2 linked regions of the Bombyx mori genome follow. The protein of the gene in region 1 purifies or fractionates together with the protein of each later gene. This does not show direct contact. Links are inferred from orthologs where the notes say so. Each region holds a gene or a part of one and is shown on either strand. Other genes may lie near its edges. The genes, in order: synaptojanin-1 and endophilin-A.

Evidence for each region.
Region 2: the proteins of synaptojanin-1 (region 1) and endophilin-A purify together in Drosophila melanogaster (affinity purification with western blotting; 3 studies listed by BioGRID). This does not show direct contact. The link is inferred for Bombyx mori from reciprocal best matches to the Drosophila melanogaster genes Synj and EndoA.

What each region holds. Positions count from the first base shown.
Region 1 is NC_085118.1:11,391,672-11,395,611, forward strand, and holds the start of synaptojanin-1, read right to left. Parts: upstream 2,477-3,940; 5' UTR 1,906-2,476; coding exon 1-1,905.
Region 2 is NC_085127.1:9,706,317-9,710,256, forward strand, and holds the end of endophilin-A, read left to right. Parts: intron 1-276; coding exon 277-402; 3' UTR 403-3,898; downstream 3,899-3,940. UniProt on the Drosophila melanogaster protein: Required presynaptically at the neuromuscular junction. Implicated in synaptic vesicle endocytosis.

The sequences.
Region 1 (3,940 bases):
TCCAACAAGTTGATGACTAGACAGAAGTGTATAAGATGCATCTCTGCCTAACACTTTTTCCAGTTCCTCACTCCATGCTTTTGCATTATCAGTACTAGCTGCCATAATATTACTAGCATTTAAATCAACTATTTCTTCAAAGCCTATTGCAAATATGTCAGAAGGATGATCCTTCAGATTGACTGTATTTACCAAAGATGAATTTGGACAATCTAATAACCAGTCAGATAATGAAACATCCTTATAAGCAAGACTTCTGAAATGTTTACCACCATTCACATTGTATGTGCCAATAGTTATTCTAAGAGTTGAAGGTTGAGTGAATTCATTCGTTCTACGACACATTTCCCTCAAGATAGCTGTAGAAGTGTGTAGTATGTTAGATGGCAACAGTATTCTTGTGCGGTCTGCCAGTTCAGAGTTTAATGTTGAACCAAGTAATAAAATATCAATTGCTTCTTGCTTTGAGTTGTCTAATAAATTGTTCTGGATAGTCCTGGCAGCAGATCGAGCTCCATCAATTAGTTTGGAGCCTCCTTGAATTGCACCAGTTCCAGCATAAATTTTAGATATTTCATTTCCATTATTCACCCACATCTGTTTGTAAACTTCTTCAAATCTATTAACATTTTGTTTTTTATCAAGACATTGTAGTAGCATTAATTGAACAGCAAGCATTTCTAAACCAATAAATGTCTGAATAGAATTTGTTCTATCTAAGCAATCCAAGCAATTGGTCCTTATAACTCCCTTTTGAATATTATAAATGTCTGACCCTTTTGCACTAAAAATCCCAATCTCATCATAATATTTCTCAATATTCTGTTTAAATTTTGATAGAGCTATCTCTTGGGATGTTGCTCTTACTTCCTGATGATAGTCAAAAACAATTTGTAGGACATCAGAATGTGGAGATTCATTAATGTGTTTCTGGAAAGCATTACTTAATGTTGCCTCACCTTCACTACCCCCAATCATGTTAGATCCAAGCAGATTTACAACTATTACAGATCCATAATTACGCTTTAACTGGGCAAAATGTCTCTCACAAGCACTTGTTGATGCATCATAGCCTCTTGACATTTTTACTTTGTGTGAGCCAACTTGTATTCCAGGTTGTTCCCAAAACAATGGCACAGACCCTCTTGTTTGTATATAAGATGCTACAGAATCATCAATGTAAACAGCTTGTTCAGTTTCTACAAAGTTTGCCACATTTCCATCATCATTACAACCTCGCACATTAAATCTAGTTCCAGCCCTTTCACAACTAAGTCTTGAGACAAGTACAGCCCTAGCTTGACGATGCCCAACATAAATAGTGCGTATTTCTACAGATCCACACATTGCTCGAGTTAGCCACTCATCACAATCTATGCCATATCTGATTAGATGTATGTACAGTGTTCTATTCCAAAAGAACCTATTATCAGGGTTGGCTCCTTTACTTTTTCTTTGGGCACACAGAGTCAAATCAAAAAGATTATCATTGTTTTTGCCAGAATACCAAGAGAAATAAAATGTACCTGAATTAATTAATTTTCGGACTTCCGAAACCTTATCATCACCTTGCGATTGGTAGAACAGTGGCAGAAATTGAGTTTGCGTTATCTTAAATACTTCTAAATCCCCCACTTTACCAACAGAAGAGCATCCGGTGATTAACACAAGATACAGAAGACAGCTTTCACCAGAATTTAGCTGAAGTACTCCAAGACATCCATAAGCGTCTGCAACTTTATGGTATTGTTTCCTTAAAGTTTCTGTTTCTTGCGATGATAAGGAAACAACGGCTTGAGATTCGAAAAGAAGTGCAGTGTCTTTGTTTCTGTGTTGTAATATTATGCTATACGGACTGGGGGGCGATGATTTCTCCAGAACTTTAAAGCCTTTGGACATAGCCATGTTTAGTTTCTATTTGGCGATTATCACGCCATTAGCTTTTAAGATAAGTCAAATAACAATTATAAATTTATATGAGAATAACCGAGACCAATCTTCGACTTGGTGGACAGAATGAATTCAATCAAATCAATCCACCCATAGAATAGTGAATAGTGCTTATCCAATTTAATCTATGCTACTAGTGGTGTGACAAACGGCTTAAAATTGACAAGCGCTTAACACTTTTCAAGTTTTACGTATGCTTTTTGGAATAGCTTTTTAAATCAGGAAATCAGGAAGCTTTCTTATTGTAAACGTACATAGCTTTAAAACAATGGTAAGACGCTTTATTTGTATCGAGTGCTGCGACTAAGCAGGAGTTCAAAACACGCCTGAGTCTTGCGGGTTAGTTAGTTATTTATCAGTTATTAGAAAATATCTAAGTCGAGTTCCATAACGATTTCAACGAGAAAAGAATTGCATTGGAAAATAAAAATCAAATCCGTTAAACTTGTGAATTGCGTAATTACCTACTGGTGTTGGGACATTTTTGAGCTTGCTGAGTTAAAACCCATCGACCTTTATCTATTACTCTATTACTATGGCAGCACACCAGCAATCCGTTCTATATTGATTTACGGTACAATTGAGTCTTGGACCACATGTTACAAGAAAATAAGATTAAAAATGGATGTCATTTTATAATTGAAAAAATATCATTGAAAATACACAACTGTTACAAAAATGAATTTCTAGCATGGTATATTTAAAAATTTATATAATATTCTTATTCCCATACCCATTGTTTTCTGGAATATTAAGCTTCATATATATGAAATGTTTACATCTATCTATGCATTATTACCATCCTCTTAGCACGACTTATAATAACGAACATTAATTTCATGACAACACTGTTTTGATTTGCATTTTCGCCGTTAACGTTGCGGTTAGTACGTTAACGAGACCTACCCAACAATAAAAGTATTACACTAACGATTGGTACACTCACTTTATTTAAAGACAAGTGTTATGTAACAGGCGGAAATCAACTTAACGTTTACTCTATCTAAATTAAATTTGAAACTCTTTTTGGTATGAGGTTACTTTTCAATAGATACTATTAGTACGGTACCTACTTTCATTCAAAGACTACCCAGGTATAATACATTACTTGTCTGCTTTTCGATGATCGACTTCTTCATCTTCTTCTTTATTTTTTGGCTCTGGTACAGTTTGTGCGTTAGCCAGCGTCAAGTAATAAGATTTTTATAATTCGCCCGTTTTAATTAAAACCTTTAAGCTGTAAAGTTTATGAATAATAAAAAACGAAGGAAAAGCAAATTCAGCACAAAAACAGCGTCCGCCAAATTCCAATGTTTCCCGCGTTTTTTTTCTTCTAATAATTTAATGTTGATTTATGTAACGATTGGAACACAACACCACATCGTCGAAGCAATGAGACGATACGGCATTAGGAAGTGAAATGAAATTTATTAAAATGAAACATGGCATGAAATGAGATGAGATATGGGATGAAATATAATCTCAATAAAATGGTGGTAATTTACTGAGACTTTTTGGAGAATCCCGAGAAGCTACGTCCAACTGCTTTGTTTAATTTTACCACATTTTTGCACTTTCACAGATACTAAACAGTAAATAAACCACCGTAATTACTCATTTAAATCTAAAGAAACACTAAATAGATAAAATAAATTAATTCAACAACTTCGCTCCTCGCGTTCCCGCCAAAAAGTCGATGATCGAATTTTTTAAGTACCTACCTATATCGCTTAAAACCACGCTCTGATTACTACGTATCTACTATTCAGTGACACCCACCATCTGGTACCTACCTAATTAAAGATTTTAAACACAATTTAACAAAATGGATTATAGATACCAAAATGAATTTCTAAAGATTTTTTTAATTTATTTCATTGCCTACATTCTAGTGATTTTATAGTGCGTCATTAATTACTCGTACAAAAATAATGCACTTAAATAATATCATTAGGTTAAGCGTATTTATGCGGCCAGTTTTAGTCTTTTA
Region 2 (3,940 bases), on another chromosome or scaffold:
TGCTTATCGGAGCCCATAGACATCTACAACGTAAATGCCGCCACCCACCTTGAGATATGAGTTTTTTAAGGTCTCAGTATAGTTACAACGGCTGCCCTACCCTTCAAACCGAAACACATTATGTACTGGTTCACGTAGATATAACCTGCCTGTACCGGCTCACAAAAATATTTTGATAATTATCAAATCATATGGTAGTATCATATACGTATATGATAATTAACAGATTTTGCTGATAAGCATATCCGTGTATTTTTATAATGATTATGATTCCAGGAGAACGACGTGATCACGCTGATCAACAAGGTGGACGACAACTGGTTCGAGGGCAGCCTGAACGGCAAGACGGGCTACTTCCCCATCAGCTACGTTCAGGTCAACGTTCCACTGCCCAATATGTAAACTTGGAACATGTAGGTGTAACACAAACATTCACTTTTAATTGAATATGCAATTTCAAAAAGGGCACATGTCGCATATTCTGTCAAATATGTTTTTTCATATACATGTAGTTTTGAGGCTTACCTACACCCATTTTATAATAATTCCACTAATTTTCAATTGCTAATAAACACTAAAATATATCTCAAAAGTAAATATTTTAAATTTTACACTGCTTTAGAAAATGATCAGTTTTTTTCATTTCCTGAACATTTTACATTATAAGAGATGTGCCCTTTTCGAAATTACATATTTAATTCATTTAAGGCATTTTAAAAATGTGTGTTTAATTTTACATTAGATCATACGGAATACCCTTACCCTTAACTATGAAATATGATTAACTGATCGTTTTTCTGACGTAACTTGTGTTACACCATTGAAATAATCTTCATATACTAAACGCAGCTACTACATAAAGGATTAATATGAATTGTTCGTAACTTCAATCGTGTCAAAAGCTCAATGAAATTATCCAATCAAGTGTATTTTATATACATTGTGTGAATACAGACTTTTTTGTTTAGAAGAAGTCTTCCCGATATTACACTCCATTTTAGAATTGTTTTTAAAAAGAAAATTCAAACAGATCTATTGTGTTATATAATTAATAATAAATAAAAACCCGTATAATACGCCAAAGAATACCTTAATGATAATATTATTAAATTCAATATACGTGTATATGTATTATTTTATTTCCTTTTTTTTATACACATTATTTTCCAAATGAATTGAGGTCGTATTTTGTAATAAATCTTATTAGTTTAACAAAGACGTACGCTATTATAATTTATACATTTTTCATGTTGCCATTTTATTCGTGACTGCTATTGTAGGCCTACCGCTTAATCGATACTGGTGCGGGGCAGGGGCGAGCTAGTGTGGTGATGTCACGTTTATGTAAAAGACAATCGCCCATACCATTGGGAATACAAGGCATTTCCCTGATTAAGAAAACTCGAAACAATTTAAATTGATATGATTTCGTCATTCTTTTCATGCGACCATTCAAGTGAAGTATGATAAACCATTAATAAGGGCAGTTATTAAAATCAAAGTATGAGATACCGAATAAATCAGGTGACTCCTTAATTTTTTTGGCTACTAATCATATAACACGTTCTTTCACATTTTAAATATATTTTTTATGGAATGGAATGTAATGGGACCTGGTAATGAGACTTTTAAGCTGAGTCAATTTATTTTCTTCGTATATTCTGTTATAATATGATAAATGATATGAAGCGAAATGAGATGAAGTTGATTAACTTGAGACTTTAATCAATTGGTGTGAAAAACCACCGTTATAACACATTTAAGTCTCAAGGATCACTAAATTAACAAAATAAAACAATTCACAATTCACTTCGCTACTCGCGTTTCACCCAGATGTCTCACTTAGACCCTCATATATTATAAAGTACGTAATATTTGCTAGAAAAGATTAAGCGATATTGTTGATCTATTACTCCAGAAGCCGCCCTCGGTAGAGCGGTAGGTCTATTTTATTTTAGTAAATTAGTTGTAAGTTTGGAACAAATTAATTTGTTTCCGTATGTAGATATTAAAATATACCAGTTATATTATTTAGTTACATTAAGACTATTGTTTAATATGATTGTAGAATCGAAAAACGTTGGTTAAAACTTTGAGCTTGTCAAAATACTATCATAAAATTAAAAGGTATAATGAATCTCAGATAAACATAGTTATGATAGTCAAAGAAATTAAAACACCAATTATTCATGTTTCCATAAGAAAAACACTGTTATCGTAATGAGAATGCGGTAAAAATTAAAACGACTTTTTGGCGTTATGCTTACATTTTCCTTAATTCATTGTTGATTTTTTCCTCTCCATAGCTCGAAGTTTTGATGTAGGTATGTGATTTACAGCTATTGCGATGCGTAGGGCAGCATTGATTCCGAACAGTGATATTATGTGTATTTACTCTATAATAAACATATTTTACATGTAGTTTATAAAATAATTTTCTTGTGTAATGTTTTATTTAGAATACCTTCTACTACTATCTACTTATTTGTGTGATGAATTGTTTCATCATTTATTTTGTTAAATACACGGCACTACTTAATTGACTAGAATGATTGATGTAAAACTAGTTAAATGTTTGAGATTAGAGATTTTGTGGTTAATTAGTTTGTCTACATAGAAATTACTGTATGCTCATATTGCTGCATGATTGTGTATGTTAAGATGACGGTCTTGCCACCAACATTGAGTTTAAATTTTTACGTGAATTAATATAAATAATTTCATTTATGTTTTAAGGAGTTTTCATATTAGGTGTATTTTCAAATGTTATATTGTCACCTTCTTGGATATCAAATTTAATATGTTTAACGTAATTTACTCCCAAAAATAAATATTAAAAAAAATCAATATTATCATATACGAATATAGAACAATTATAGTAAAAAATATTTTTTGAACTCGCACACTCATTTCGATTTAATTCACTTATAAATACATATTTAAAAATCGATTAAAATATCCGAGTGGAGTACATTTTTCATCATCCCTAAAATCACATATGCTAGTATTTAAATAAATAACAGTAATCATAATAAATATAAATGTTGTCAATGTGGATGTTGCAAAAGTTAATTAAATTTCATCGCATCATTTGTGTAGTAATCGGAACTCATTCGATCATGTTTCTGGCATACAAAAGACAATACCTAGATCTAATGTTAGTCGTACGTAAGTTCATAAATGAAATGTTCTTCAAGTGTCTCTTAATATAAGTATATCGAGTATATTATAATAATTATCTTCAATGTTACAAGAATCGATATTTTAATGTTCAAAAATACCGCGATGCGGATATAATTATTGCATGTGTCCTTCGTCTTAAAATTAATACTATTCACATATATTCATTTTGAATATGACTGTTATTGTTTATTAAAATTTCTAATGGCTTGCAAAAATTGTTGGGAACGTAAAGTTCATTAGGTATGTTGTCGCTTCGCACCGTGTACGTTGTATTATGCAAAGGAATCAATTTGTTTCCAAAATACTCGGGACAGAGTCGCCCGTGTAGTAGACAAATAAAAACAACATATAAAAATTATATTCTTGAAAATACAACCACTTATTTAGTAATCAAAATCTGTGATGCGCAAGTAATAACACTAAAATACTAAAATTTGCAAATAAAATTAGTCTGCATTATTTATCACATAAAACAAATTTGTATAGTTTTTGGGATCTTCTATCAGTAGATTCTAATATTCGCTAACGGTGCGGCCACACGAGTTGTCTTGTTACTATGTGCTTGTTCATGTTACTGTAATCTTGAATATTGTGTAATTTTAATAGGTGTATCTTGACAAATTGCCAATTGTAAAGCAATAAAATTGGTTTGTATTTGAAAATATCCAAAACGCTCGTTTTCGCCTATTAATAAAATGTTAACAATTAAAATTAAGTTAAGCGTTTTCATTTCTTATTATAATCCCCTAAGTAGTGT